Linked DNA regions of Tamandua tetradactyla. The protein of the gene in region 1 interacts with the protein of each later gene in a pairwise test. Links are inferred from orthologs where the notes say so. Each region holds a gene or a part of one and is shown in the gene's direction. Other genes may lie near its edges. The genes, in order: RINT1, AIRIM, SFR1 and EPC1.

The links.
Region 2: the proteins of RINT1 (region 1) and AIRIM interact in binary tests that used the Homo sapiens proteins (3 or more experiments, as listed by UniProt). The two-hybrid records come from large-scale screens. The link is inferred for Tamandua tetradactyla from reciprocal best matches to the Homo sapiens genes RINT1 and AIRIM.
Region 3: the proteins of RINT1 (region 1) and SFR1 interact in binary tests that used the Homo sapiens proteins (3 or more experiments, as listed by UniProt). The two-hybrid records come from large-scale screens. The link is inferred for Tamandua tetradactyla from reciprocal best matches to the Homo sapiens genes RINT1 and SFR1.
Region 4: the proteins of RINT1 (region 1) and EPC1 interact in binary tests that used the Homo sapiens proteins (3 or more experiments, as listed by UniProt). The two-hybrid records come from large-scale screens. The link is inferred for Tamandua tetradactyla from reciprocal best matches to the Homo sapiens genes RINT1 and EPC1.

What each region holds. Positions count from the first base shown.
Region 1 is NC_135327.1:143,943,127-143,951,007, forward strand, and holds the start of RINT1 (RAD50-interacting protein 1), read left to right. Parts: upstream 1-4,869; 5' UTR 4,870-5,064; coding exon 5,065-5,106; exon of another isoform or gene 5,107-5,174; coding exon of another isoform or gene 5,175-5,192; intron 5,193-5,613; coding exon 5,614-5,662; intron 5,663-5,988; exon of another isoform or gene 5,989-6,205; intron 6,206-6,852; exon of another isoform or gene 6,853-7,109; coding exon of another isoform or gene 7,110-7,119; intron 7,120-7,881. UniProt on the Homo sapiens protein: Involved in regulation of membrane traffic between the Golgi and the endoplasmic reticulum (ER); the function is proposed to depend on its association in the NRZ complex which is believed to play a role in SNARE assembly at the ER.
Region 2 is NC_135328.1:187,625,199-187,633,189, forward strand, and holds the start of AIRIM (AFG2-interacting ribosome maturation factor), read left to right. Parts: upstream 1-4,979; 5' UTR 4,980-5,006; coding exon of another isoform or gene 5,007-5,135; 5' UTR 5,136-5,271; coding exon of another isoform or gene 5,272-5,368; 5' UTR 5,369-5,377; exon of another isoform or gene 5,378-5,388; intron 5,389-5,467; exon of another isoform or gene 5,468-5,686; 5' UTR 5,687-6,192; intron 6,193-6,367; exon of another isoform or gene 6,368-6,370; 5' UTR 6,371-6,373; coding exon 6,374-6,648; intron 6,649-7,991. Other genes in the region: CDCA8 (borealin), read right to left, coding at 2,764-2,804, 5,007-5,135, 5,272-5,368. UniProt on the Homo sapiens protein: Part of the 55LCC heterohexameric ATPase complex which is chromatin-associated and promotes replisome proteostasis to maintain replication fork progression and genome stability.
Region 3 is NC_135339.1:66,210,625-66,218,067, forward strand, and holds the start of SFR1 (swi5-dependent recombination DNA repair protein 1 homolog), read left to right. Parts: upstream 1-4,425; 5' UTR 4,426-4,720; coding exon 4,721-4,744; intron 4,745-5,404; coding exon 5,405-5,521; intron 5,522-6,109; coding exon 6,110-6,520; intron 6,521-7,443. UniProt on the Homo sapiens protein: Component of the SWI5-SFR1 complex, a complex required for double-strand break repair via homologous recombination. Acts as a transcriptional modulator for ESR1.
Region 4 is NC_135327.1:218,877,551-218,884,948, forward strand, and holds the start of EPC1 (enhancer of polycomb homolog 1), read left to right. Parts: upstream 1-4,392; 5' UTR 4,393-4,692; coding exon 4,693-4,845; intron 4,846-5,248; exon of another isoform or gene 5,249-7,398. UniProt on the Homo sapiens protein: Component of the NuA4 histone acetyltransferase (HAT) complex, a multiprotein complex involved in transcriptional activation of select genes principally by acetylation of nucleosomal histones H4 and H2A.

The sequences.
Region 1 (7,881 bases):
CTAAAGACTTGTTTTAATTGGGACATTTTTAATAAATTGCTAGTTTAGCTTAGAACTATAAACTAACAACTTATTAAATTCCCCTTTTTAAAAGCCATTCTGTTTCTGGTATATTGCATTCCGGCAGCCAGCAAACTAGAATGGGGGTAAGGGTAAAAGAAATTAGGTAGATGGAAATACTGGTGGTCAATGAGAGGGAGGGGAAAGGGGGATGGGATGTATGAGTTTTTCTCTTTTCTTTTTATTTCTTTTTCTGGAGTGATATAAATGTTCTAAAAAATGGTCATGGTGATAGATACACAACTATGTGATGATACTGTGAGCCATTGATTGTACACCAGATATGGAATGTATGTGTGTGAAGATTTGTCAATAAAAATATTTTTTAAAATAGAGAAATCGTCACGCATATACAGTACATACATGGTATATAATCAGTGGCTCACAATATTATCACATATTTGCATATTCACCATCATGACCATTTTTAGAACATTTGCATCATTCCAGAAATGGAAATAAAAAGAAAAAACTCATACATCCCATACCCCTTACCTCTCCCTCTCATTGACCACTCATACTTCAGTCTACCCACATTTTTACCCTTTATCCCCCCCCACCCCGTGCGTGTTTGAAAGGCGTATGTACCCTAGAAAAGCCATGTTTTAATCCTATTCTATCTTGGGGAGGCACCCTTTCTTTTAATCCCTATTCAGCACTGCAGGTTGGAAATTTGATGAGATTACCTCCACGGAAATGTGCACGCCCAATTTTGAGTATTAACCTTTGAATAGAGGGAAATGTGACTCCACCCATTCCAGGTGGGTTTTGATTAGCTTACTGGAATCCTTTAAAAGAAGAAACATTTTGGAAAAAAACTTGAGAACCATAAGAGCCCACACAACCAGAGACCTTTGGAGATGAAAAAGAAAAATGCCCTGGAGGAGCCTCATGAAACAAGAAGCCTGGAGAGAAAGTCAGTGGGCGTCGCCATGTTTACCATGTGCTTTTCTAGTTGCTTTTCCAGGTGTGAGAGAAACCCTGAACTTAACAGGCCTTGCTTGAGTGAAGGTAACCTCTTGTTGGTGCATTATTTTGGACATTTTTATAGACTTGCCTTAATTTGGATATTTTTCACAGCCATAGAACTGTAAACTTGCAACTTAATAAAAAGTCCCCCTTTTTAAAAGCCATTCTGTTTCTGGTATATTGCATTCCAGTAGCTAGCAAACTAGAGCACCGTCTATTATTTATTATTTTTATCCTTATTTTTTTTTTACTCATCTGTCCATACTCTGGTTAAAGGGACATCAGACAAGATTTTCACAATCACACAGTCACATTGTAAAAGTTGTATTGTTATACAGTCTTCTTAAAGAATCAAGGCTGCTGGAACACAGCTCAACCATTTCAGGTATTTCCCTCCAGTCACTCCAGTATACCATAAACCAAAAAGGGTTATCTATATAATGCTTAAGAACAACCTCCAGGATAACTTCTCAACTCTGAAATCTCTCAGTCACTGAAACTTTGTCTCATTTCTCGCTTCCTCTTTTGGTCAAGAAGGTTTTCTCAATCCCATTATGCTGGGTCCTGGCTCATCCATGGACTTCTGTCCCATGTTGCCAAGGACATTTACACCCCTGGGAGTCATGTCTCCTGTAGGGAGGAAGGGCAGTGAGTTCACCTGCCGAGTTCACCTCTCTGGCTTAGAGAGAGAGGCCACATCGGAGCAACAAAAGAGGTTTTCTGGGGGAGACTCTTAGGCGTAATTGTAAGTGGGGTTAGCTTCTCCTTTGCAGGAATAAGCTCCATAGGGGTGAGCCCCAAGATTGAGGCCTCAGCCTATTGAATTTGTTGTTCCCATTGCTGTGAGAATATCAGGAATTCCCCAGATGGGGAAGTTGAATGTCTCCTCCTTTCTCCCCAGTACCCCAAGGGGACTTTGCAAATACATTTTTATTCTCTGCCCAAATTACTCTGGGATGTAGTGTTACATCACACTAAGCTGTACAAACCAACAGGATCTCATGCCCTATTCATGATTCCATGTAATTATGGTGTTTAAATAAACTGATCATACAAATTAAATTAGGAAATGCACTACCCAAAATATAAATTTTGCACCAAATAAACATTCTCCCTTTGGTCTCAAGTTGAAGTTTTAAAATATGGGCCATATTATCCTTTACCCTATATTCTGATTTACCTTAGTTCTATCCAAGTCAGCTTCATTCATATCTCTAGTTGAAATCTGATCACTTTTTCAACTTTTTAAACAGTTGCTGTATAGGGTAATGCTGACTTCTGTAGCTTCAATGCTCTAACACAGAGTTTCAGGTGTCATAAACATACCCGAAGTTTCAGGGAATGACCAGGTTATACTCAATTAGCTAAGTATCTCAGAATTTAGAAATAACAGTTACAATTCCTGAATATGTGTGACTGCTGAAAGAGCTTATAATTTAGAACCCTTTACAATAGGCCCCAACCTGACAACCCATGCTCTTGATTCAATTTTTTGAGTTTATATAGTATAGCCAGTCCATGTGAGTGAGGCATGATCATATTTCTTTTTGTTTCTGCCATTTGATTCAACATACTGCCCTTAAGTTTCATTCACCTAGTTGCAGGGCTTACAATTTCATTCATCCTTGCAGCCACTCAGTCAGTTGTACGTATATACCACAATTCCCCCTTCCTTCTCTCAGTGGTTGTACCCTTAGGCTACCTCCATTCATTGGAAATCCACCAACCAAGTCCCATACCTATGCCCCTGGCCCTAAAGCCCCCGAAACTCCTAACCTACCACAGGGGGCCCCGTAGGCATCATCAGCACCCCCACTAGCTAGCCTCTATCTAACCCCACCGCCCCCAGGGGGGCGTGACTTCCCCGCCCGCACCCTGAGCACCTGGACCCGGGAACTCCCCCAGGATAATAAACTTTTTTAAACTTGGACTCAGTTCCTCTGATTTTTCAGTTGGCTATCGTTTGAAAACATAACATTATCTATTGACTTCACTTAATGGAAAATGAGGATTTGGTTCTTCTTCCTTTCCCTTATCTTCATCACACTTCTCATATCTCTATCTGTCCAATAAAGTTCTTTTGTGCTTGTTTTTAGAGCTTTGTTTACTTCATTTTGATGAGGTAAACATTATTCACATCTTAGGTAAGTAATAAACCATGATTACTTCACTTTTCCTTCAAGCTTTTGTTTTTTTCTATAGTTAATGATCTTCTTTTGGTTTACTTATTCATCATTCCAAATCCAAGCTCTCTACTAATTGTTGAAATCTCCCCCTCCAGAGGATGAGATACATGAACTGTTCTATCAATTTCTTCTTTCTGAAGAATCTCTTCTGGAACCTTCTGACCTGTGTGGCTCTATGCCTAGTGCACAATTATGGCAATTCACTTTATTTTTCTCCATTGTTTATTTTCTATTTCCTATATCCTGTGTCTTCTTTTCCTTGTTTACTCCCTCATTTTAGGGGAGTACAACCTCTTGCTACTTCCTGAGAAAGGAGAGATAAATGAAACATATATTTTTTTAATTCTTGAATATGTGAACATATCTTTATTTCAGCTCAATCAAGTATAGGATTTAGTTTGAAATAATTTTCCTTTTGAAATGAGAATTGCTTCTCTGTTTTTAGCTTCCTTTGTTATTGTTGAGAAATCCAAAGATTTGTTGAGAAATTAACTTTGTAAATTATCTATTTTTCTCTCTGGAGGTTTAGGATCATCTTTTTGGCCCCCATGTTCTGTAGTTTCACAGTGATGAGCCTGGACACTTAGTGGGCCCTTTCAATCTGGAAACTCATGACTTTCAGTCTGGGGAAATTTTCATGAATTGTTTTGTTGATGATCTCCTCCATGCTTACCTCTTCTCATTTTCCCTTTCAGAAGTTTTATTTTTAGTTTTGGAACCCTTGGACTGGTTCTCTAATTTATCTTTTCTTTTCAATTTTCTATCTCTTTGTTCTTCTGCTTTTTTTTAAAGGATATTTCCCAACGTTTATCTTCCAACTCTTTCACTGAACTTTTCATTTCTGCTATCATATGTATAGCTGCTTGTCTTTGAATGCTACTTAAAAAAAATCTGCTCTTTTTTTTTATGGTTGTGATGGTATCTCATACCCCTCTCAGGATATTCATAATATATTTTTTAGTGTTCTCCTCATTGAACGGTTTCTGTCTCCTCTAGCTTTCTTAATTGCTCAAGCAAGTTGTCCCCACCCCCTTGTGTTTTGGTTTTTATCGTACTATTTTCTGTGCTAGTTTGTTTGTGAAATTGTCAAATCCCCAGGTCCTCTCTCTACTCCTTGCCACTAGGTAACTCCTCTTTCTCTTTCTTGTCAAAAGATAATTTGTGTGCGTATGTGTGTGTGTTTGTGTCTGCACTGGGCAAAGTGTATGTTAGATGTTAGGTGCTGCGACCTCTTCCTCCGTTCAGCTCTCAGAACACTTACAATCAGATCTGCATCCTCCAGGCAGGAAATTGGACGATCATCCGAAGAAAACCTGACCAGCCTCAAAAGAAAGATCCAAAAATACTGACATTGGAAATTCCCCCAACTAAATAGCCCAAACTAACGGCTCCTAGTCGACAAGCTCGCTCACACTTTCGGAACATCTTTAAGTGGAAGCAGAAAAACGAAGGACATCATCTTAAATGTAAATTTAAATACTTTATACTGAATTTGTGGCGTGGAGGGAGGAGTATCGTCAAGCTGCATAATAGAGCGCCCCAACGCCGCGTACGGGGCTTTACCATGGTTGAGAGGAACCTTACTCCCTGCAACAGAGGCGGCTGACTCAGTTCCTGGCCGGCAGGGGGAGCTACGCCGCGCGGCCCGCGACTGCGCGGACCCGGCCTCTCTAGTCGGAGAGGAAGAAACCAGAGAGACGGTAGGAGGAAGTCTCGGTGGCGTTTGGTGTTCAGAATTGAAGTCTGTAAGACTGATCTGGTCTTTCGTCCCGGCAAAGTCTCTGGCCCGGGCTGTATTCCACAGTCCACACTGGCTGCGCATCAAGCCGAGAACACGCGCGGAGGCGGGATGCTCACGGCTGACGAGATCGGCGAAACGCCCGCAGCCCCGGTGAGACGTCCGGGTGAGGGGTCAAAGTAAGGTTGCAGAAACCTCCCGAGAGAGGTAGTCCCGGGAAGATGGCCCTTGTGACCTCGGTAAGGTGGCCCGGGCCACTCCGGTGAGATGGTCCCACAATCCCCAGGGAGGTGGCATTGGTGGCCCAGATCTCCCGAAAGGGTTAGTTCTGGTGAGAGACCCTACAATCCGGGTAGGTGACACGGGCGGTCCCGAGGGAGATGCCCTTGCAATCCTAGTGAAGTGGCATGGATCTCCCGAGGCATCTTGTCCTGGTGACGTGGCCCTGGCAGCCCGATGAAGTGGCTCTGGCAGACCCGGTGAAATGGCACAGACCTCCCAGGGAGGTGGTCGTTTTTGAAGCGGCATCGGACCATTCTAACCTTTCAGGAGGGCACCAAGGAAGGGGTCTGGGACTGCTCGCCCGTCCAGTAGAACCCTGCCTGAGTTCCACCCAGAACTTGGGTCTTAATGTGTTTGTCACACCTCCTCTCCTTTCAGTGCTGTCCTCAGAATGGTGAAGAAGAAAGGAAGAACGTCGAAGAAAAAAGTAAGCAGGCTTCAAACACCTTAGTTTTTTCTGCCCGGCCATCACTGAAAATTCAGCCTTCCGAGGTCCACATCAGAGAAGGGGTCTTACTTATCCTGTTATTTTTAGATGAGGCGTCTTTTTTCTGTACAATAAGCTTATATAATATTAAATACTGGTTATTTTACACACATTTTTGTCTTAACTTTATAAAATTGTAGAATATGGGATGCTTTGGAGAAGATCACTTCCTGATCCCTACTTAGTGCAGGGATTGGTGTTTTCCGTGGAGTTCTGCCCATCATACAGGATTCAAAATAACCTGGGGACCTGCCTGTCATTTACAGTGAGTGAAACACCAACTCATTAAGCATCATGAAATTAGGAGGGACTAATTACCTAGGAGATGTGACCACCACCTTAAATGGATTCGGAAGAGTCAAATGATGACTATTTAGTTGTACTTTTAAACATCAGTGTATTCGCAATTAAAAATTGTCGTGGGATGAGCACAATGGATTATATATAATCTGGATCTTGATCTCAATGCAGAAGGTGTATAAGGTCAGTATCTGCCTTTCCTCCCTAGGATAGAAAAATATGTCAGGATATATATGTTTGTCATTTTACTATCATGAACCGAGCATGGCAGACTATTGGAAATAGGAATCATCAGAAACTTTTGAAGTGAAAATTTATTGGGAGAGTAGGAGGGAAAATACATAATAACTATTCTGTTAGGAGCCTTTTGGTTCTTCTGACCATGCAAAAAGTCTGCGAAGAGTAATGGTAACACTCTTGTACCCTTGTACCCATGTTACCATATGGCCTTTAGGAATCAAACTTACCCTTGACATTCCCACCAACGTATTCTGCCCCAGAAAGAAAACTCTAAGTAGTGCTTAGCATTTCACATTCATAGCCACCAGAATTCAGCTCTTTTTCCTTGAAGGATTTGAGGCTAGGACCCTCCAACTCAAACCCTTCCCTTTTGTACTTTTTGCCCCATTCAGGTACCTGGGAAGTTTAATACCTGCTGAGCAGTCATTTCAGTAAAATGATAGATGTTGATTTTAGCATTTGTCCTGTCTCTGCCTTGGTGGCTCAGTTAATTACTTTGCAATTTGGAATGCTCTTTACAAAAAAATAGAGAAAAATAAAAACCTCCTGTTTTAGCTTCCTTAGTTGCTCAAGCAATTACCATGAATTCGTTGGCTTAAACAATGGGAATTTATTATTTTACAGTTTTGAGGGTAAAAGAAAGTCCAAATCAAGGCAATGCTTTCTCCCCAAAGACTGTGGTATTCTGAGGCAACTGCTGGAGATCCCTTATCCTTGGTCCTTAGCTTGTCATGTGACAAGGCACATGGCAGTGTCTCCTGGTCTCTCCCTTCTCTTCCAGGTTTCCCAGATTCTCTGTTTCTGGCTGTTCCCTCTGTGGCTTTCTCTTTGTCTGAATTTCATCCTGTTATAGAGAGCTGTAGTAATAGGATTAAGAATCATCTTGATTGAGGTGGGCCACACTTTAACTGAAATAAAGTCATCAACAATACCTACTTACAATGGATTCACTTCCATAGGAATGGTTTAGGTTTAAGAACACATTTTTCTGGGGTACATACAGCTAAAAATCACCATACCTTCTAAATCACCAATGTGCCATTTTGAAAAATGTTATTTGATTAAGAATGTACTATGCTGGGTGGACCATGGTGGCTCAGCAGGCAAGAATGCTCGCCTGCCATGCCAGAGGACCCGGGTTCGATTCCCAGTGCCTGCCCATGTAAAAAAAAAAAGAAAAAGAGAATGTGCTATGCTGCATTTAAATGGTTACATCAAAAGGGCTTAATTTTTTTTTTAATATGTAGATATAATTTACTTCTTAAGGTACAGCAACAATAGCATTCACAAAACATCCTGTTTCTTCATAGCTCTACCTCCATTTGTCTGCAGATATACCACACGACTCACTTTTGTTTTATATAAGATAAATAAGAAAAGAAGGCATTGTGACTTCTGTACATAATAGTGATGGATTTCTGAACTAATAAAGTTTTGGTGCAGGCCAGCCTATTCTCCTCATGTGTGAAGAAGAAGAAAATATTTTGGGTTAAGAGTTTGGAAAACATGAATTTTAGTCCAGTTTCCAACTTCTAAGAGTAGCCTGAGGCAAATTTTATAGATTTATTTTGTAGTTGGGAAATTGAGCTGCAGTTTTTTGTTAGTTTTGCTTCTGGATC
Region 2 (7,991 bases), on another chromosome or scaffold:
AGATGCTGTGCTAGATCTTAAAGTTTCTCAGGAGCCTTACAGGAGTATTGCCAGAATACCAAAAGTTACTTGGACTCAAAGTTACAGGCAAACCTGCAGAAAATGATACTACGTTTGGAGCTCTCAAACGGAAACGAAATACTGAAATCATGATGATGGGAACTCGTGAGGAGAGCTTGGAAGATGTCTGAGGTCCACCACCTGACAAGGATGATCATGTCATTGACTTGGATATTGAAGATGAAGTAGTTGAAGTAGAAAATAAGAAAGAAATCCTGCTGAAAATTTCTTGCAGAGTTAAAGAATACAAAGTGGAAGTTCTGAATCCTCTCCAGGGAAGGGAAAAAGCTTTTGGTATTAGCTGTTGATTATACATTATTTGGCCACAGGTCTTGTGTAGAGACTAGGTTAGAATTAATGCGGCCCTATCTTCAAGAATTCCTAACACCTGAATATGAGGGTTATGACATTGTTATTTGGCCTGCCACAAATATGAAGTGGATTGAAACTAAAATGAAAGAACTGGGAGTAAGCAAAATGCAAACTGTAAGATTATCTTCAAGTTGGACAGTGCTGCTATGTCAACAGTACATACTCAAGGAGAGGATTAATCGACATAAAACCTCTTGGTGTTAAGTTTTTGGATTTTACAGTAAAAAAAAACACCATTACGTTTGATGACATAGGAAGAAACGTTCTAATGAATCCCATAGAATGAGCTAAAGATAAGACCTTTTATGAAAGCTCACCTAAATCGAGATAAAGACAGAACTTTTAAAATTAACTCAGTACTTCAAGGAAAGAGCAAAATTAAACGACTTCTTGGAGCTAAACCACAAATACTGGTAAAGGTATTTTTCAAAGAAACAAGGACAGTAGTTGTAAACTATAAAACTCATACTTGAGGTCCATGAACTTGTTGCTTTTATGCTAGAACTCATTATGATAGTGCCAGACACTGAAGCAAATGCCACACTGCTTATACTTGGTCTTCCAATTTTCTGTAAATTTAAGTTTATGTTTCTTGAAAGTCATAACAATATGCTAAAATAAGTCCATTTCCCCTCTCTATTTATATATACTGTTACTACTGAAAATTATTTTCTCCAGTATTGATTACTGAGCTTTTTTCCAAAAAAAAAAGAGGAATGTATACTGTCATTTTGTGACTTATGAAACAACATATCTTTTATTTTGTCTCACTAAGTCTAAGACCAAACCCATCTCGAAACTAGTGTTTTCCTTTCAAAGCCAAAAGAAAAAAAAGAAGTTTTTGAGTAGGAAAATTAGTTTGGTATGCTTAAGATTGCCAATAATTTTTTTATCCCTTTGTCATACACATAATTTCTCTTCTGTACTCTATTATTAAGATCTCTGAATTCTAAGCTGTCTCAATTTGGTCTGTATGTGTTACAGTATTCTTCGAATTAAACTGGAAAATATTAGCTATGATTCAGATATAGTATGAGAAATAAACCTTAAGACTGAAGAATAAAGCTAAGGAACAAGAGTGTCTCTTTTTGGTGGCTAAACAGAAGCACTTCTACCTACAGCCATTGTCATCAAAGCAGATAAAGACACTAATTCAGTGGAACATATCACTGATTCATTCCTATAAAGCCTGAACAAAAATTCTTTTCTAGCAATACCTTGTCTATGTAAAAACACTGTGTTTCAATGAAAATATCTAGCTTTAAGATTAAAAACTATATATTTGCAGCTCTTAAACCTGCACTATAGATATGTGATGTGACCAGTTTGTTTACAGTATTGCTTTAAATAGTTCTTGTATTTGAAAGGAAGCTAATCCTTTCAAATAAACTTGGTGCATATTGTTCTTACAGGACTATTTCAGAGAGTAAATAATAGAATACCTTTTCTTTAAAAGATAAAAATAAATAAATACGTGTGTTATGTGCATATGAGTATGTATGTATGTATATGCAACAAACATTATATATGCACTTAATATTTTTTCCAAATGTTTGCATGCTTAAAAAGTATTTTGTTTGCTTTGCTTGTTTTTGACTGCATTTGTGGTTGTAGCTAATCTCTTTTCAGTGCAATATAACAGTTTGTGTGACTATATCACAAGGGATTTATTCATTCTCCCATCGATAGTTTTTTGCTACTATAAATACTGCTACCTTGAACTGTCTTATATATGTCTCTGGAGCACACATCCACGTTTTCTCTTGGCTATATACTTAAGGATAGGGCAGTACAGGGTTGTAGATTATTCAAGGGTTCAGCCTTGATATTATGCCAAATTGCTTTTCAAAGTGGTTATCCTTGTTTACATTGCTTCAATATTCAATACAAGTTCCTAACGATCCTCTACAATACCTGGTCCTGTGTCATACTTCTCACTCTTGGCAAGTCTTGAGACTCTCAATTATCATGAGAAGCCTTCTTCAAAAAGGCTTCCAGTGGCCATTCTAATTAAATTTGCTCACAGTGGTAACTACCTGTATGTATGGGTATAGCCAAGAGCAGGCATGATTCCAAGTCCTTTCCTCACAGAGCACATACAAATATCAGAGTAGTAGTTACGGCAGGAATGATAAAATCTGTTCTATAACTCAGAACTCAGAACTATTCGGACTTCATGTACTCAGCATCTGATACTACAATTTTTCAGTTGACATGAACAGATAATGTTCCCTATGGATCTCTTCCACAACAAGCAACCATTGGTTGGATTTTATGACTAGACTAAGGATAAAACTAACCAACAATTAAAAAATAGGAGCGGTTACTTACCGTTGCTGCCTCTTCTAAGGCCTGCTTGTTTCCTCCAAGGGCTTTAAACAGAACATTTTATTTAGTTACTATCAGATTTTAACAATAACTCACCTTCCCTAACACTATCAGTTATTTCTAAAACTGGACATGATTAAACCCTTGGGCCAGAATTCAAGAACCTTTACAATCTAATCTTTCTCCAACCTTGACTTCTCCTCCTATTCATTATGACCTACTCTGTGTTCCACCACATTAAGCTTCTCATTTCCCAAATGTGCCACTGTCGCTCATGACTTAGTGCCTTGATACTTATTATTTCCTCTGCCTGCAGTACTTCTCTGAACCCAGCAAACTCCTAATTCATCCTTAAAACTCAGGTCAAATGTCATCACTTCAGAAAGTTGTCCTATGTATCAAACAATCCACCTACCATGCTTCACTCAATCTCAAATCCCTACTCTACAGATACGGAAACTGAGGCTAAAGAGACTAAGCAACTTGACCAGGATCACAGAGCTGGTATATGAAAGAACTGAAATTTGAACTCAGGTCTACCTTTTCCCTAAATTTTAGCTTATGTTTCTATAAAGCAGGGTGCTACAAAGAGCTAAGTTAGTTGCTCACCCTTTTCCTCCACAACAACTACTCGAAGTTGTTCAGTATCTAACTTTGCTTTGGGCTGTGAATTCCTTGAGGACAAAAATAATATTTTCATAGTATCTGGCAAAAATCTGGAATATGTTAAGTGTGCAGCAAATATTTGCTTAACAAAGAGATCTTTCAAAGATTTAGAAAGAGAATATAAGTTAGGATGGGCCCTCCTGCTAGAAACTCTCATAGCATTCTTCCTATATAACAGTTAAGAACTCAGACTTCGGAATCAGAATGTCTGGGTTCAAATATTCTGCCACTAACTAGCTTATGAGCCCTTAAGCAAAGTAACTAATCTCTCTGTGCCTTAAAAGAGATAATATTAATAATTAATAGGCTTATAATCAATAAGTTTGTTATGAGGATAAATCTAGTAAACATACGTAAAACATATGGTATAATGCCTGTGTGACATAGTAAACATGACAAATGTGCTTACTGACTGCCACTCAATTTTAATTATATAATAAGTGTGTGAACTTTTAAATGACCCTACTCCACTAACATCAGTTCCTGAGGGCAGGGACAAGTGTGTTTTATTCCTCAATGCACTTTTCAGCACCTAGCATTTTGACAGATACCTGCTCAATGAGTATTTGTAGAAATGAGCAAATGACTAAAAGAGTAAGCTAAAAGGATCATTACATGTCTACTGCATACACAGAACCTGCATTTCTATCCAAGGAGGCTACCTACTGGGTAATTAAGAATAGAGGAAAAATTAAGGATAACTTAGCACAAAGGGCAGCCTCCTGCATTTCCTTAGACTTTTAACAAGGCAGTGGGGAAAAGACAGATTTTCCTCTGGCCAGGAAAAGTCTCAGGTTCTTGTACTACACAATTTGACTTGGCCATTTTTAAACTGGCGGTTTTCATAATCTGCAGGAAGCACTGCCTAGGGGTTATCCCTCTACCTGGGCTCTAATAACAAACCAAGTTTTTCATTTAATCATTTAACAAATATGTATTGAGCACCTAGTACTTGTCAGCTCCTCTTCTGGCTACAGATGAAACAGACAAAATTCTTACTCTGCCCTTATGGATTTACAATCCTGGTTGTAGGGTGAAAGGATATGTAACCAACAAAAATAAATACAGAAAATATATATTAGACTAAATCAGGGGTCAGCAAACTGCTCCTGTCTATTTTGGTATGGACTGCAAGCTGCGAATGCTTTCTACATTTTAAAATGGTTGGAAAAAAATGTCAAAAGAAGAATAATATTTCATGACACTTGAAAGTTATGTGACATTCAAATTTCAGTATCCATAAATTTTTTTGTGGAACACAGTCACGTGCATTCCTTATAGCTGCTTTGGAGGTAAAATACCAAAATTGAGTAGTCGCCAGAGAACCTTCTGGCCTACAAAGTCTAAAATATTTACTATCTGGCTCTTAATGGAAAAAGTCTGCCTACTCATGGATTAGATGGTAATAAGTGCTATGGAGAAAAATAAAGAGGCGCTGGGCAGGAGGGCTGCAGTTTTCAACTGCTGTCAGGGAAGACTTCACTACGAGGATGACGTTCGAGCTAGTCCTTTATAAAGCCTGTCACGGTAACCACAAGGGGATCCAGGCCAAAGCCTAGGGCCATTCCAGCAGCTCTTACCGAAGTAGTCCAGCCAATTCATCTCGCGCAGGGCCTTAGGGAGCCGCAAGATCTCGATGTTGTACAAGTTATCCATCTCTTTGAGGAGGTTCTGCCTGTCTGACTGAATCTGCTTGGATCGCATTTGCACTGCGAGAGGACAGAATCAACAGGATACGGGTCACCCGGCGGGTGAAAGGGGCCTGGAATCTTGCTCCCTGCTCCCCAACCCACCAGGGCCCAGCCATCGCCCGGGAAGCCGCGACCACCCGGCTGTGCCCCTTACCTTCGCGGTCGAAATCCTTGAGAAAGGAGGCGAGCTTCCGGCTCCTCAAAGAGTTGGTCTTGGTGGTTCGTCTGCTGCCCTTCCTCGCAGGAGCCATGACGTTTCGGTGGGTGGAGGCTACGGGGAGGGGGGACCGAGTCACAAGAGGTTAGTGGGGCAGTAGAGAGAGGGGAAATAAGGGGGCCGCGACGGGGCGGAGGGGTGGGGGGGGGGGAGGCCGGATAGCGTCCCAAGGGAGTCAGTAAAGGGGATTCCCTCCCTTCCGGGCCCGGGCTTAAAGAAGAAGCAAAGCACGAACCTGCGGGTCCCCAAACAAGGGCAGAGGTAAACCTGCTCGCTCCGGCTGAGACGGACTGGCTCTGAAGCGAACCGGACCTACAATCGCCGCCACCAAATTCAAATCCAACTTCCCCAGGTTAACGAATGAGGAGTCGCCGTCTTAGAAAGGTCCCACAACATCCAATCACCAGGAAGCTCCAGTATCCGGCGGCCAGTCCGCGCCCGGGACTACAACACCCAGAAGTCATTGCGGGCCGACGACGCTCGTCCGCGGCTCGCAAGACCAGGTGGTCTAGTGAGGCGCTCTCGGGGAGGTCGCTTTGGGGCGGGTGCAGAAGGACGCGAGCGCGCGGTGGCTGTCCCATCGGCTGCCGTATCTTTGGTTGTCTTAATTTTAGGTTTTTTCCCCCTGGTTTAGGGAAAGGGGTAGGCAGCTTCAAGGAGGGGAGATAAGATTCCGGATCCGGGAGCATCGGTCTGAGGGGAATACAGAGTTTCTGCCCCGGGAACCCGCATTCTGAGCCAGGAGATTGACCTACCTCTGAGAGATAGTCGGGAAACCCTGCTCGAGGTGACAAACAAAAGGGACTCTTCCCAGAGCCCTTTGTGAAGGAAAGACAACGCTTCGCGCCGGGAGCTCAGGTCTGAAGGGATAGACAGACCTGCGTGAGGAACCCCCTGGTTGGAGGGTGGAAGCCAAGAGCTTGACCTCACAGGAGGACGAAATAATTCCCACCCTTGACCCCGTTCTCCCCATTCTGACTTGGGACCTTAACACTTGTTGTTGTTTGTTTCTGTTTTTTGCTTTTGTATTCAGCAGAAGATGACTCAGGACCGGGCATCTCTTGCTGTGCAGGAGGCCCTGAAGAAGTGCTTTCCCGTGGTGGAGGCGCAGCACAGCTTGTGGCAAAGTACTCTGAGGGACTGCCAGCCCCTCCTGGCTTCCCTCAGCAACTTGGCAGAGCAACTACAAGCCGCTCAGAATCTGCGGTTTAACGAGGTGCCGTCGCTCCGGGCCTTCCCGGACTTGAAGGAGCGGCTGAGACGCAAGCAGCTGGAGGCTGGTGACACTGTCCTGGACAAGCTCGGGGAGAGGATGTAAGAGGCTCAGAATTTTTCACAGAAATATTTTGAATCTGGGTGTTTGATCAGTAGCCAGCACCTGTCAGAGAGTGTTTATCTCCTTACATGAGAGTATGACATTAGAGAATTCTCATCCTTCTTTTTCTGCCTGCTTAGCTGGACCTTTGTCAAAAAGCCATTTTCAGACATTTTCCTTGTCAGAGGCTAATATGGTAGTGGTGAAATTAGTTGAGGTCACAAAAGCGGAACAGAAAAGCTGGTATCAAAGGAGTGGAGGAAGCTTATCAGCACTAATTGATAGTTTTTTTGATGAAAAGCAACGAGGAGCTATACTGTAAACCTAGTAGGTGTCACAGCTAAGGCTTATTTTGTTTGTTTTATGCTGTCTTTTTTATTAGAGAAGTTGTAGGTCTACAGAAGAATCACACATAAAATACAGTTTCCATGTACCACTCTACACCTTGCATTAGTGAGATACATTTGTTACAATTGATGGAAGAACATTTTTACAATTGTACTGTTGTTAAATTGTCCATGATTTACATTAGGCTCACTGTTTGAATCATATGGTCCCATATTATTGTTGTTTTAAATTTTTGTTCTTGTAACATATATACAACCTACAATTTCCCATTTTAAGCACATTCACGTACATAATTTAGTACTATTAAATGAGTTCACAGTATTGTGCTACCGTCACTACCATCCATGACCAAAACTTTTCCATTATCCCAGACAGAAACTGCACATTAAGCGCTGATTCCCTTCCCTACCCCCATCCTGTCCCCTGGTCACTTATAATCTAGCTTTTGACTTTGAATTTGCTTATTCTAATTATTTCACATCTGTGAGATCATACAATATTTGTTCTTTTGTGTCTGACTTATTTCACTTAACATGATGTCTTAAATGTTCATCCATGTTGTGCCATACATCAGATTTTCATTTCTTTTTCACAATATTGTATATATACCACATTTTGTTATTCATTCATCTTGTTACTTCCATCTTTTGGCATTTGTGAATAATACCACTGTTAACATTAGTGTGCAAATACCCGTTCGAGTCCTTGTTTTCAGTCTTAAATAGAAGTGGGATTGCCACTTGGTCATTTGGTAGTTCTATACTTAACTTTCTAAGGAACCCGCCAGGCTCTCTTCCACATGGCTGCATCATTTTACTTTTCCACCAACAGTGCCTGAGTCTCCACATCCCCTCCAACACTTGTAATCTTCCACTTTTTAAATAGTAGCCATTCTAGTGACTTTTAAAATATTAGCCATTCTAGTGGGTGGGATGCGGTATCTCATTGTGGTTTTGATTTGCATTTCCCTGGTGGCTAATGATGTTGAACATCT
Region 3 (7,443 bases), on another chromosome or scaffold:
GACAGGCTTCCTAAAGCCTATGAAGCTCATCTTTGCAGACAAGAACAGAAGAAGCATTTTACCACTTCCTTATGAATAACAAAGTGACCAGCAGTAGCCTTGGGTATCAAAATTTAAAAACACATACACAGACATCCTAATTTAGCTTGTGCATATCTTCAGCAACATAGGAGTTGAGTTTTAAATATCCAACATTTATACAAAGGCATAGATATACAAATATCACAAAAGATGGTGTTTATAATGCTTGAAATTAAACATTTACATAATAATTAGCAGTTCTCGAGATGCTGACATCTAATTCCTCTTTTTACCAAATGAATACAGGGGTGACATATTGGAGTAAATAAAGGATCTGGGAAGGATGTGGCCCTGAGCAATGCTTTTATTCCCATTTTCTTTCTACAGTCTAACTCATCTATCATAACGTCCCACATTCAGGCTCCCCCACCCTCACAGTTATTAATCTAACCTGAATCAGTCTATTCTTCTCCAAGAGAACACACCCTATAATAGCAGTGAATCATAGACACTCTTGCTTCTCCAGTCTTTAATGGATTTGACAAAATGCCAGGTCTGGTGGAATAAAAGCCAGGAATTACAGATGAGGGTAACTCTTTAGGCTCTTGTTTGGTGTAATATCCTGAACATTTTATTTGCCTGGTATGGAAAGGTTTTGATCACATTAAGGTATTGACCCTATCATATTTCCATGTTCTAAGTAACCATCCTACTCAGTAAGACAATCTCTCAGGCATGCTAAATCAGGGACTCTTTTATCTTGGGATTGAAAATAAAATCCTCTCTTGCTTATTTTGGCTAAAGAATATTAAATAGATTATCCACAAAGGCCACCCTTTGGTAACAAGGCACTGAGAGTCTTCAACAGTGTCTACGAGTGAAGCAATTATGCATGGAATTTCATATAAGATTTTTAGGTAATAGAGAAAATAGAAATAGATTGTCAATTATCCTCAAAGGGAAATTTATGAAATTACAGAGACTAAAACATCTCTTTATTTGGTAGGTCTGATAAAATGTAACTTGAACTCATGGCAAGAGGAACCTACAGAAGAGTTTCTGAAGGTGATTTTCAACTTATACGCAAACGTCACAAAAAATATTAAAACCAGTTAAGAATTTAGCACATTATATTGTGTGTTATAAAACTCTATGAAATCTATCTAAAAAGTTTAATTTCTCCTTCGCATTATAAATCAACTTAATCATGTGGATTTTGCACAATTCCTCACCCAAGTAGATTTAATTCTAATTTTAAAAGTGTATTTTCATTATATGTTATTTTTCACAATAAATTTTTTAAGTGTATTTTCATATCCTTGTTTAAAAAATACCTATAGATGCATGATATCAAAATATTTTTCAATGCAGAAAAGCCAATGAATTGCATGGAATTTAGGTCACCTTGAGGTTACTGTTAAGATTTGAAAAATAAAGCTACAGTCAAGAATTAAAAAATAATAAATCTTGGTGGTGCAATGGTGGCTCAGCAGGCAGAATTCTCGCCTGCCATGCCAGAGACCTGGGTTTAATTCCTGGAGCCTGCCCACGCAAAAAAAAAAAAAAAATCTACTGAACTTTTTTTTTGTTTTAATTATGAACTTTTTAATGGTGGTTAAAAGATGAGTATGTGTGTAGAAAGAGAGGGAGAGAGGGGGAGGGAGAGAGTGTGTTCATTATTCTTTTCATTATTCTCTCCTTCCCATTAAAAAAGTAGTTAAAAAAAAGTCTCATAAAGATTTTAGGTTTATGTCATCACCCCACCAACAATAATCACAGACAAGAACAGAAGAAGCATTTTACCACTTCCTTATAAATAACAAAGTGACCAGCAGTAGCCTTGGGTATCAAAATTTAAAAACACATACACAGACATTCTAATTTAGCTTGAAATTAATTACTATTATCTTTGAATTCTATTGTTCTCTATTTGGTAGGGTAAGGATAGCTCACTGGGACAGTTTTTTACTCTCTTGAAAAAGTTTCATATGAAACATATAATATCCAGTGTCAGAAACACCGAACTGCTTTATAGACCAATAGATTTCAGGGCCCTTTAGGGAAATGCATCAAACGATACAAAGAAAACTACAGGGACAGATCTCAGATCCCTTACACTAAACTGAGAGGGGAAGGTTGGTTTCCACATTGGTACGTGAAGGGAGTAAGTAAACACAAATTTATATAAGGAGAGAGCATTCAGTTTTAACAGTGCATGGAAGTCAGAGATATAGGTCAACGAATGCACATTTCCGAAATATATGTTATTCTAGGTACTTATTGTGAAGTTCTTTGAAAATCTGGCCCAAACAATCCCATTTTAATATACCAATTCACTTAAAAATAAGCAAGTCCGAACACTTGCTGGGCAAGATGTTATTTTCCTTTACGAGCCAGCAAAAACACAGCTCTAAACTTAGGTTGTAATGATAAAAGGATTTGGGAGCAGCTGACTTTAGGGAATCATAAAAACAATCCACCCTTATGCCCCAAGGTATATAGAACATGCAGAGTCTGCATTGTGCTTCCAGTGCCAGGACAAATCGTTTTGCTTTTTGCAGTGAGATTACCTGATGCCAATGGGTAAGTTAAGAGAAATTAATGTACAGATTGAGACCTGTGGTCTCGCCTGGTGAATAACTCCAGTATCACAAAGTCATGAGCTCTCTTCTTTGACTTTGTAAATTCCTTCAGGTTAACTTTTATAATTAATGAAAAATTTAGAAGTGGAATTTGTGTTATTGATTATATAGAGAGACACCAAGATTTCTGCTATTTAGGGTTTAATTTGTGAGGGAATTTTCAGAACACAGAATCTTTAAAAAATAATGTGGCCTTATTTTGGGCAGTGTGAAGGAATGAAAGAATTGAATCAAGTAGGGAATGGTGAATATACCTGCATATATAAATTGGAAACTATTGATGTGTCGATGTCTAATGTTGCTCTAATTGCCTCTCAAGAATTCTCATTTAATCCTCCAATCCCTTAGGAGTAAGATACTATTATCCCCATTTTAAAGATGAAGGAACCTATCAATACACAGAGACTGTACATTATTAGGTTTAAAAATAATGGAGTCAGTATTTGAACCTGTGCAATTTGACTCCAAGGTTTAAGTCCTTAACCACTGAATTAGATTGTCTTCAGGTTCTGTATTTGGACTCCACAGTTTAGGACTCAGTTATTTCCTTCTCAGCTCTGACTACCTCTAAGCCATTATTTTGGAAATTACACTATAAATAGCAATCTTATCTTATTTTTGACAAATTTTACATAGGATCTGTATTTCTCCCTACATAAGAGAAAGTTTAAGTAGCACCAAAGAGCTCAGATATTAGTAAAGATACAAAATTGTCATTCAATAGAAGACTCAAAGCACTGGCCCCTTAAAATTCTCAACATTCACTTAACTCAGAAATTACTCTTCTCTCTTCCCCTAAATCCAGTGCTCTACCCAATTCAGTTAACTGCATTGTTGCCTAGCAACATAGGAAAGGAAGTGGATTATCAGAGACTAAGATTTGCTGCCAGCGCTTCAGCAAAGACCTCTGTGCCTCAAACATCCGAATTCTCGATCAATACCCTCCTATTTAGTGACTGACTGCTTCTTGTACAGCTCCACAACAAATTTCCTTGCATTAAAATTTCCCTCAGATTTGACTAAAAGATTTGAAGCCAGACTAAGGTGTCTAAATTTTCAGGTAGATACAGTATTAGACAACGTGGTGGCGAGACTACCAAATTTGCAGCAGCATAGGTTAGAAACTAGTTGGAAGTTCGCTAAGGCTCTTGGATAAATGTATAACATGTCGGATTCTCACTATGTCATGTAACCCTAAAGCTGCTCTTTCGAAGTCTCTGCCTTTGGAGAGTTTACACATCGTAAATTTAACACACAGCTGGGGGGCTATGTGTCCCGTCAAGTAAGAGGAAGAGCCTTTGCTGTGGTGAGCGAGAGACCAACTGGCGGCCAGCGGAAAGGGTGGCGCAGGGGACGACCACTCGTTCAGGCGTACTTCACAAAGAAAAGAAGGAGGCGGGGAGGGAAGGCAACTGAAGATAAGAGAAAGAAAGCGAATCTGTAAGAGGAAGCATGCCCTCTTCATAATCACTTAAGCCTTGTGAACCTCAGCCCTGCCCGGAACACCGAACCGAAGCTCACAGCAACGCGCGCGTCGTGTTGCGGCTCTGGGAGGCCGGGCGGAGCAGCGCGCGCCAGCCAACCCGGCAGTCACGTGTCCTTCCAGGCTCTCGGGTGGCCCGCCCCCTCTTCGTTGCCGGGCGGAATAGGTTAGCGCGCGCCGGCCAGCCCGGCCAATCACGCGTCTGTCCCGTATCTCGCGTGGTTTCGACCCGTTTTGGTTGCCGGGCGGAACGGAGCAGAGCGGGCCGGTTAACCCGGCCAATCACGTGTCTACCCGGTTCCTGGTCAGCTGGAGGCTTTCCGCCGCGGAGGCTCGCGAGTTCTGCGGGTTCTGGGAGTGGTGGAGGGCAGTAACCTCCTGGGCAGCAAGTGGTTGTGTGAGAGTGGGACTAAGTCCGGGGTTTGCTGTGGAGTCGAGTTAAGCCCCGGTTCTGCAGTCAGGGTACCTCACAACCCACCTCAAGGCCCGGCCTCTCGAGGGCTAGCCTGGTATTTCTGCAAGGGTGGGCAGGAAGGGAAGGACACCGCCCACTCGGTTCATCTTGGTAAAGTTGATGCCTTTGTTTGAGGAAACAAATGTCAGTCGACTCATTTTCAGGGTTTAGTTACAGTAAAATGATGCAGACGTGTAAATTTCCCTCTGCTTATGTCCCATTTGCCTCAGCCCTGGGGGGTCGTTGATCCCCCTCTCAGGGGTGGTGTGGCAGGTCTGATTGATTTGGGGGTCGAGATTTCGGCCGTGTTTCCTTTCATTATGAAGCTGTCATACTAAATTGAAGAATTCCTGACTATCCAAAGTTATTTTTCCCCCATATGTCCACCAAAGAAACGTAGGGTCTTTATTGCTAGATTTATTTACATAAATAATGTTTATTTCGTAATGTTTTTAATGTTTTGTGCCTATTTAACCCATGAGTGCAACATTTAGAGAACGATTAAGGAAGACAAGATGTGACAGAAGTTGGAGATATTTTTGATAAAAACAAACAGGGAGACTTGTTTAAATGAGATACTTAGCCAATTAATCTGTCATGAAAAAACTAGTAGTCACTTTCATGTGGAAAACAGCCCTGCAAAAGAGCAGAAATGAATTGCAACTAAATGAAATTAGAGGAAATTACTGGCTTACTTGTGGGTGTTATATACAAGAATCAAAATTTCTTTGATAAGAATTGCAGATTATATAGAGTTATGGATTAATTTGATTTCCGTTTTGTGGATATTTTTCATTTTTACAGGTAAACCAGGATTTCTTCTACAAGATGGAAAGTCCATCAGACTCAGCTGTGACGTTATCTACTATGTCACAGGACTATGAGGATCAGTCTCCCCATACCAATAGTTCAAGGCAACAAGTAAGAGAATATTAATTCTTCCAGTAAATCCATTCCATATTTCTAAGTTTTGGAGGTAGCAGCTTTAAGTTTACTGAAGATTATTAGTATAATATGTTTCATTAAAAGGTAAATGTATTTTATTAACTATTAAATAATTTTAGATTTTTCTCTAACATAATGTATTTGATCTCAAAATTCTCATCCTTAATTCATTTAGTTTCTCATTGGTTTATTACAACAGAGAAAGTTTAAATCTGTGCAGTAGTTATCATTATGAAAATCTTTGGTGGCAGGACCTAGGTTTTTCCTTTAATTTGTAACTCTGAAATGCACATAGAGTAGTTAGACAATGCTAGTAGCTCAACATATGTTTGTGGTTACTGGGATAAGCTTAACACTCTTAATGGTATTATTGATCAAGCTAAAGTAAAAAGAGTAAAACTAGCGGAGCTTCTGGGAATTAAAACAGTTTTGTGGTGGTTACTGTAAGCAAATGGAGACAGGAAGCCATCTATTGGTGTCTACCAGAGAAACGTAGGGTCTTTATTGCTTGATTTATTTACATAAATAATGTTTTTTTTTCCTTAATGTTTTGTGCCTTTTTAGCCCATGAGTGCAACACTTAGAGAACGATTAAGGAAGACAAGATCTTCATTTCATTCTTCTTATAGCGTGGTAAAACGTCTTAAAGTAGAGAATGATGAAAATGATCAGAACTTTTCCAAGAAACCAGCATCTTCAACAGAAGAAAACTGTTTGGAATTTCAGGAAAGTTTTAAAGACATAGACAGTGAATTTGAAGAAAGCACATATTTGAAAAATACCTTCAAGAATATCAATACATGTGAATCTAAGTCACTTGATTTGGGGTCATGCGTTGCTCTCCAAAATGATTTTGTGAGTGAGAATCACCCTAAACAAGGATTCAAAGAAGAAAAAACAAAATTGTTGAAGCAGGTTGAGGAGAAAGAAGACCTTCTTCGAAGGCTAAAACTAGTCAAAATGTATAGATCAAAGGTGAGAAGAATTTCAGAACTATTACATAATATTTGTTTTTATTTAAGAAATTACATTAAAGTAATTTCTAAAGTAGAAAATAAATTTAGTTTAGCATAAGAAGCAATAAGCCACATATCCAGAAATCTGGATTCCAGTAACTTTAACTCAAAAATAATTAGAAGGGGCCTCTAAACACCTAATAGAACATTGGAAAGTCTCACCTAAAGCTACTCACTTGATTCTCATTTAATGTACAATTGGAGCTTTTCTCTCTAGTTTCCAGCCTTGAGCAATATTAGAAATATCAAATGGTAGATGCAAGTACAATGGGAACAGAAGGGACAGCTGACAGTGAATAAGTAAAAAAGCTGAAAGTGGGCCAGAGAATATAATAAAAATTATCTTTAGTAGTGATATTGTGTTACCCCCCCCAAATAATTAAAATGTTCCAGGCATTCTGTTTGAAAATACAACAAATATGTATTAAATTTTATATTTAAATCCAGATAGGTTGAATAAAATCGAATTTGGGCACTTGGATTATGACTTACCTGGATAATTCATATACATGCAATAGCTCATTCTCCACTAGCAATGTGGAGTAAATGATGGATTAGCATGTGCCATTTGTTCTTTTGAATTTTTAGGATTTTTCTGAACATGACTACTTGAGTTTTATAAGATTTTGAATGTTGAAAATATCTTTAATTTGAATTTTGTGTTATTTTAAAGTATAGTTGTACTAGGAAAATAGATTTTTTAACCTATATTGTTGTAAAACATAAGTTTTACCCTATTTAATGAATTTTTTTTTCCATGAGGGGAGGGATGGCTCAACGCTTGGACCAAACACAATAACCACAGAATTCAAGTTGAGTGGCTTTGTAACCATTCTTATTTTTCTCTGGGTAGAAGGCCCATTCATTTCTAGTTGTGCTAGC
Region 4 (7,398 bases), about 75 Mb from region 1:
GTTATTCCTTTCCTATGTCTTTCCTTTTAGTATACAAATATGCACACATCTCTTTCATCTTCAAAAGCAATAAAACCCTTGGCCTGAATAGCTTTGTGTCTCTCCTTCCCTTCATTGCCAAGCTGCATGAAAGAGTAGTCTACCTTGAACATCTCTCTTTTCTCACTTTGCATTCACTTAATTAATTTTAACCTAGTATCTTTGGCCCCATTCTGGAATCAGACAGCCAGAGATTCAAATCTCAGTATCACCTCTCATTGGCTTTGCAACCACAGGCAGGTCATATCACCTCTCTAAGGTGAATATCTCTCTACAGGACACACCTCATAGAGCTCTCATGAAAATTAAATGAGAGAATACATTGAAAGCACTTCCATACTGCTGGTGTATAGCAAAGGCTCAATCAATGGTAGTTATTATTCTTAATGATCCAAAGTATAATAGGAGTTCGGAGATGAGAAAGATGGGCATAGGCTTAAGAAGAATTATTTTTAGTTCACCTAAGTTTCCTTATTCTTGAAACTAGGAAGTTAGGGCCCAGAGATGTTGAATAGCTAAAGAAAGCTTCATGGAGGAGATGATATTTGAGTTGGATTTTGAAGAATAATTAAAAATAGTGACATCTGTCAAGGGTTCGCAGTGGCCAAGTGACAATTTGAATGATTTACATGGATTTTATTCAACCCTGAGACATTCTGTGAAGTAGGACTTCGGTGGCTAGTAGATGGTTAGTCTGAAGGGGGAGAAGGAAGACAGAGAGAAAAGAGTGAAAAATCAGAGGCAGAAACATGTGATGAGTTCTAAAGACAGTGTCAGAAGCCAGGATGAAGAATTTGTCTTAGAGGTCTGATGTTGGATAGAGAAGGCAAAATTATGGGAGGTCTTAACAACCTACCAAAGAATTACTTTATTTAACGAACAAAATAAAGAGTAGTTGTGGTTTGGTGGCAGACACTGCACCATGAAACCCTGGAGGGCAGAGTTTCATGACTAACTCCCCAGGGGCCCACGCCTCTACCAGCCACTACCACTAGTCACTATTGGGAGATTACCAGCAATTTTGACAATATAGGGAATAAAGGCTGATTGAGGGAATGAATGAATAAAAGGTGGATTGGATTGAAGATTGTTTCTACATGTGATGTGATGAAAGCTTGAACCATGTCTGAGACAGTGGAAATGGGAATAGAGGCAAATCTTCTATTTTCAAAGAAGAAAGTATGGACTAGGGGATATACTGGATGTAAGCTAATATTCAGAGCCTTATTTCAGGTTTATTATAGAATGCAAAATGCAGTGTCAGAGCAGTTGTATTTGAAACGTTCTCTCTTTGAAGTGTTTGATTTTTTTAAAAGCAGTAATTCTGCATTCAAAACAAATCACCTTTCAGGGTGATGATATTGTAATTCTTACCACTAAAACTTAGGCCTCTTTACTTTCTACTCCTACTCCCTCCACTCACGTTCTTACCAGTTTTGCATAATACTTTGATTGTTGTAGGAGTTCTCTACTGAATGCTGGCCAAAATAAACCCCCTCATCCTCAAACACACCTAACAGTTGCCCTTCCCAACCCCAACTTTTGTTCATTTAATTGCTTCCTCCTGTGAATGCCCTTCTACCCTTTTCTAAACTCCCATAGCACTCACTACATTTCACTATACCACCTAGTACTGGTCATTTGGTTAACTGGTTATCCCTTGGCCAGTATCTTATTTGTATCCCTTACAGTGAGGTACCGTGTATTGCCTAGTTATCCAATAAGTATTTGTGGCATGAATGAAGGGTGTTTTAACTAACTGCAAACACCTTTCCAACAAAGAGTTTCCCATTGAGGAAATGTTATTCAGCTTTATACTAGTATACGTTTCTTGCATCATGTTGAGAATTTTTCTTGCAATGTTGAGAATTTCATATCACTTTTGTTGATGTTTAGAAAAAGAAGTTGAGAGTAGAAGAGAAAGTTAAAGTAAAAGAAATTGCAGGAGTAGGTATTTTGCAAAGAATCTTTTGGTGGGTTAAAGGAAGCTGAGGAAAATTAAATCTGTATTTTCCCTTCTGCACACCTGACTCTAAAGAGGGAGGGAAGTGAACCAAATATATGAGAGGCTTGGGACTTCAGCTTCTGGGTCGTTAAGAACCCAGTAGGAACTGGGAGGTAGAAATTCAGGACATTGAGGACCTGGATGGAGAATCAATGCAGAAAAAAAGATGTCTCTAGCATATTAGTTGCAAAAAAAGCAAGCTGAAAAATGTGTAAGCATCTCCAAAAACCTGTCATGGAGAGCAACGCTAGAGTTTCTTAGAAAACTTACCTGTACAATGATTTTGTTACTAATGTAGTATGAGGAAAATGTTATGCATAAGCTGTTATTTTTAATGAAGGTAAGATGTGTTTCCTTGGTTCACTCATAACTTAAGACCCTATTTTGTTCTATAAAGTCTTAGGTTCCTCAGTCACAAATTTAACTACTGGGATTCGGGGAATCTCATATTCTAGGCTAGATGGAAAGAACTGTTATACTCATTTCAGCCAGTATTTTCAGAACTGTTAAATCTGGCTAAATAGGAGTCATGCTCCACAGTGGAATTGGCAGTTCTTTGAAGTTCCCAGAATGTGACATGCTGAGTGTCTCAGGCATAAGCCTTTGCAAGTGCTTCCTTCTAGTTTTTTGTTTGTTTGTTTGGTTCGTTGGTTGTGTGTTTTGTTGTTTTTTGCATCATCTCCAAGAAGCCTTCCCTGACTGCTTTCATTATAGCCACTATCCATGGGTTGGGTGCCATTCCTGCTTGTTCTCACTAGCCTGGATTTCATCATAGCAACTTACCGCTAAGTGTGGCAGTTGTGATTCACAGGTCCTTCCTCCTGGAGCCCTCTGGGTGCTGAGCAATCAGCAGCACAACTGGAAGAGAGCAAGGGCTCAAGGTTTGCTCTTTGGATGAATAAATGCAGTCTTGGTATAGAAAATGTGGGTGAAAGTCCCTCTGCCTCACAGAGTTTTAGCATAATTTTGGAGAACTACAATCTATGCCTCTCCTTGTCTTTTCCCCACCCCATTGAGTATAGTTAAACCAACCTGGAAGATAACAGTTTGCTTAAGTGCCCTAAGCTAATAATAGTTCATACCCAACCCAATATTTAAGAACACTGGTTATTTTTATTATGTAGCCCTATCCTCTCCCTGTGAGGGACAGACTTACAAAATACTTTCGTTATCTTTTGAAAAGATGTGAAATTTTGTTGCCACCTCATTAAAGCCACCCAAATAATCTTAACGATTTTTAAAATACTACTCTGGAGAGAGTTCTCTGGACATTCATTTTCCTGTGTAATATAAACCAAATGTCAGCAATGTATTACATCTATCTAAATCTCTTCTAATAATTCGTTTCCCGTGCGCGCGCGCGCGCTCATGGGGTGTTGTTGGCAGGCGCCTGGCAGCCTATATGGTTCAGTTTTATAAATATATAATTTTTTTTATTGAACAAATGATAAAGAACCCATGGCTATGCTGAAGTCGCCTTTTCTTTTCAGTACAAAAATCACAAGCTGAGTATAAAGTATAGGCTGTTAAACTCTGAAGAAGATCTTGCTTTAATTTTTTTTCTTCGTAAGGTTACAGTATCCAGTTTCCTTTCTTTGCTCCAATTACAATAAAAGAGTTAATATGGGAAGATAAAATGTAGGCTTAAAAAAATACTTTGGAGTAGGAAACCAGCGGGAGGGAAACTGACCTATGAATTGATGAGGCGCCTATCAAATGACAGAACCCAAGTTCATTAGACGTAAAAAAAAAAAAAAATGCGGGTAAAAGTTCACTCGAGTCACATTCTGCCCCTAATTTCGTTTGTATTTTTGCCGCGGTAACTAGGCTATGCGTTCGCCCACGAATTGGCCACCGGTGCGCACCACCTCGGGAACGCCTGTCCCTGGTCCTGCCGCAGGTGGCGTTGGCAGCCTGGGCGTCGCCCCCGCCCCTCGCGCCGGCCGGGATGGCAGGTGCCCGAGCCCTCGGACCGAGCCGCAGGGAGCGAGCCCGGCCAAGGCCGCCGCCCCGCGACTCTCTCCGCACTGCCTTTCGAGAAGCCCGAGGGCGAGTGGAAATAGTTTTCCTGCACCTTCCTTCGCCTCTCAGAAGAGAGCGGTCAGAGGGAGCGAGCGTGAGAAAGTGAGCGCGTGCGCGAAGAGGAGAGGAAGCCCAAGAAGCCGGCTCCCGGCGCCTGAGCGCCTGGCCCAGCTGGCCGCCCGGCCCTGGTCGCGCCCGACCGGCGGCGGGCGGGGGCCTGAGCAGCGAGGCGCGGGGAGCGAGGCCCGCGGGAGCCGGGGGTTGACGGGACGCGCGCTCCGTGCCGGCGCCGGCCTCGAGCCCGCGCTCCCCCCCCCCCGCCCGCGTGCCCGCGCCGCTGCGCGATGCAGTGTGGGGAATGGCTGGGGTTGGCTGAAGAGCGCACAGTGGAGTTTTAATGTCCGCCATGTTGGCCATGGCGTATTGAAGAGAGCGAGCGAGAGAGGAGCGGAGCGGCACAGACTCCCACCCTCCCGGCTGGTGTTAGTGCCCGGACAGCGGGCTCTGCGCTCCGTCCCTCAAGTCCCCGGCAGCGGTAGGCGAGTGGGGACCGAACCCCCGGTTCTCCATGATCCCGCTGGCCGGGGCCGTTTCCCCAGAGCGGAGAGGTATCTGCTGCGCCTGAGATGAGTAAACTGTCGTTTCGGGCGCGGGCGCTAGACGCCTCGAAGCCGCTGCCGGTTTTCCGCTGTGAGGATCTGCCAGACCTGCACGAATACGCCTCGATAAACCGGGCCGTGCCGCAGATGCCCACCGGAATGGAGAAGGAAGAGGAGTCGGTACGTGTTAACTCCCCTGTCCGACCCACCGCCAGGCCCCGCTCCCTGTGCTGCCTGCGGCGGCGACGGAGCAGCATTCCCACACAAAATGGCCGCCATCTTCTCTTCCCCGCCGACTCTCAGTTGCCGGCCGGGTCTTTACCCCGCCCTCCCCAGCCTCGACCCCGGCCGCCGCGGCCTGGTAGGGCCTCCTCTGAGGCCACCCGTCGACCCCGGCCACTGGTACCCGGGTCCCGCGGAGTTCGGGGGCCCGAAAGGCACAAAGGGGTCACGTGACGAAGCCGCCGGCAGCCATTTTGTGGTCTTTAGTTCTTGGGCTGGGCCTTGTGCATCCGGAGAGGGGAGCGGGCTGGGCGGCGGGGTGCGGCGGGCCCGGCGCGGAGCAGGACGACCTGCCTGCAGGCCTTTCCGCGGGCCGCTGGGTGGCGCTCCAGGGTCACCTCGGCCTCCGCGTCGCTGCTGGCGCTGGGGAACGCTGGTCTATGCAATGGGGCGGTTCGGCTTCCCCGGCGCCGGGAAAGCTTGCTCGGCTGGAACCAGCCCCACACGGAGTCTCGGAGGGGGCCTGGTCTCTGAGGCTTATTTCTCCCCCTCCCTGCAACGGAGTGTCGAGCTTACTGCGTGTTTGCCCTGACGACTTTCATAGATTAGAATTATTCGCAGTATTCTCTTTCTGGGACTTTTGCATCCATCCCTTCCCTCCCAATGTTAGTTAGTCGGAGGATGATCAACTACTATCTCTGATTTTTTCTTTGATCCTTGAGAACATGTTGCAGATACGTTTGGAATACGTGGCTCTTATTTAAAGCCTATAACTTTAATGTATTTTTTTTTCTGTAAAATTTAAGTTTTTATGCTTTCTGATCTCACAACGTGGGGGGAGAAAAGACCCAATTAGATAGATCTAAATTTAGGAAGAGGGTCATTTTCTTATCCATAGTTAAACTAAAGTTTAATGAAGTCATAGTCTTAACATTGAAATATCTAAATCGGGTGGGTTTCAGAATGTAAATGTTTGTTTACAGCTAATAGACATTTTGTTATAGCTGTGGCTTCACCTTATTGTGGAAGTTGGGTTCAGACACAAGGATAATAGAATCTTCCTCTCATTTCCCCCAGATCCTTGACAGTATAACTTGATAACGTCTAATCCTAAGGAATTGCATACCTTGGTTTTCAGGTACAGCCATTAAAACAGGGTGCAGTGTATTGACAGTTCAAGGAAGTCGAGGAATCGCGTGGATATGCTACAATTTTGTTGTGGAAAATTGTACTGTAATGCTTCTCTTTGGTACTGTAAGAATTTTGAATGTAGTAATCATACTCTGTAATGTTTTTGAAAATAAAACTGTTTAAACTTGTTTGGGTCGTTTAACCTTTCAACGTACAATAGTTGTGACAGCGAATGTTACTTTTAAGAGTAGTGTGTTAAATCTTATTTTACAGATAAGCTAAGTGCATGTAGTAGTTGATTGTCTAGTGTAGTACTGACTTTTAGCACCTTGTCTATGAGACAGCATCTCTTAATTTATTACTTGTATCAACTTTAGAGTAGAATGGTACCATTTGTTTATTTTTAAACAAGTGATTTGTTTTTAAAAATTAAAATACTTGTGACTGCAGAATCTTGTCTTTTGGTTTTATTTTTGTTTCTGTTTATAAGTTTTGCAGATAATACTTTTCAAGTTGGGGTTTTGGTGTTACACTACCTTGGAAATTAATTTGTAATTCTTGTTTACAGCCAAGGGGAGAGCCTTGATTAAAGGAAGGTAACACTACAGTACAGTTTAAGTCTTTGCTTCTATGAATACTTTGAACAGTCCCAAGAGCTACCACCTAAAGTTAGAGCTACGCTTAACTGAGGCATCAATGCTTATTAAATTTACAGATAATTTTTGTTCACTGAAATTATTTTGACATTTGATAATGTGAATGGATCTCATTAGATTGCAGCATTACAGCATGTGGAGTCCCTGTGGAGGGACATAGGGATTTTTTTTTCCTTTAGACTGCCTTTAACATCATCTGTTTAGAATTTCAGTTCTCATCTACCGAATGCTATGTGTATGATCAGTGAAGCATAGCTTAAGAGTAGATACCGAACTTAACGGGGATGTAAAAAGTACCAGGTAAACAAACAAGCTGCTCTACAAACCTGTGGTTCATGCTGGTGGTAGAACATATAAATAGTGGTATTGAAACTAGCATGGTTACAATATTGGATGTGTAAGCTAAGCATAAATAAAGGTAACTGAATTCTGAGTTAATCTTGTAAAAACAAGAACTTTTGATAATTTGTTGAAGCATCTTTTATTTCTTACAAAGAAGAAGGTTAAAACAAACGTCTGCCTTTGACACATTAGGGATGCTGTCTCTTGGGTCTGAGTGACCTAGAGCCTGAATTGACTAATTTAGAAAAAGTAAATAATCCTATGTTGGTCATGAAAGATGGGGCCGATATGGATTAGGACAATTTCTTGTACTCTGCTTCATTAATAAAGCATTTCAGGAACAAAATGCATCTGTAGAATTGTCGTGAAATATCCCTAGTAA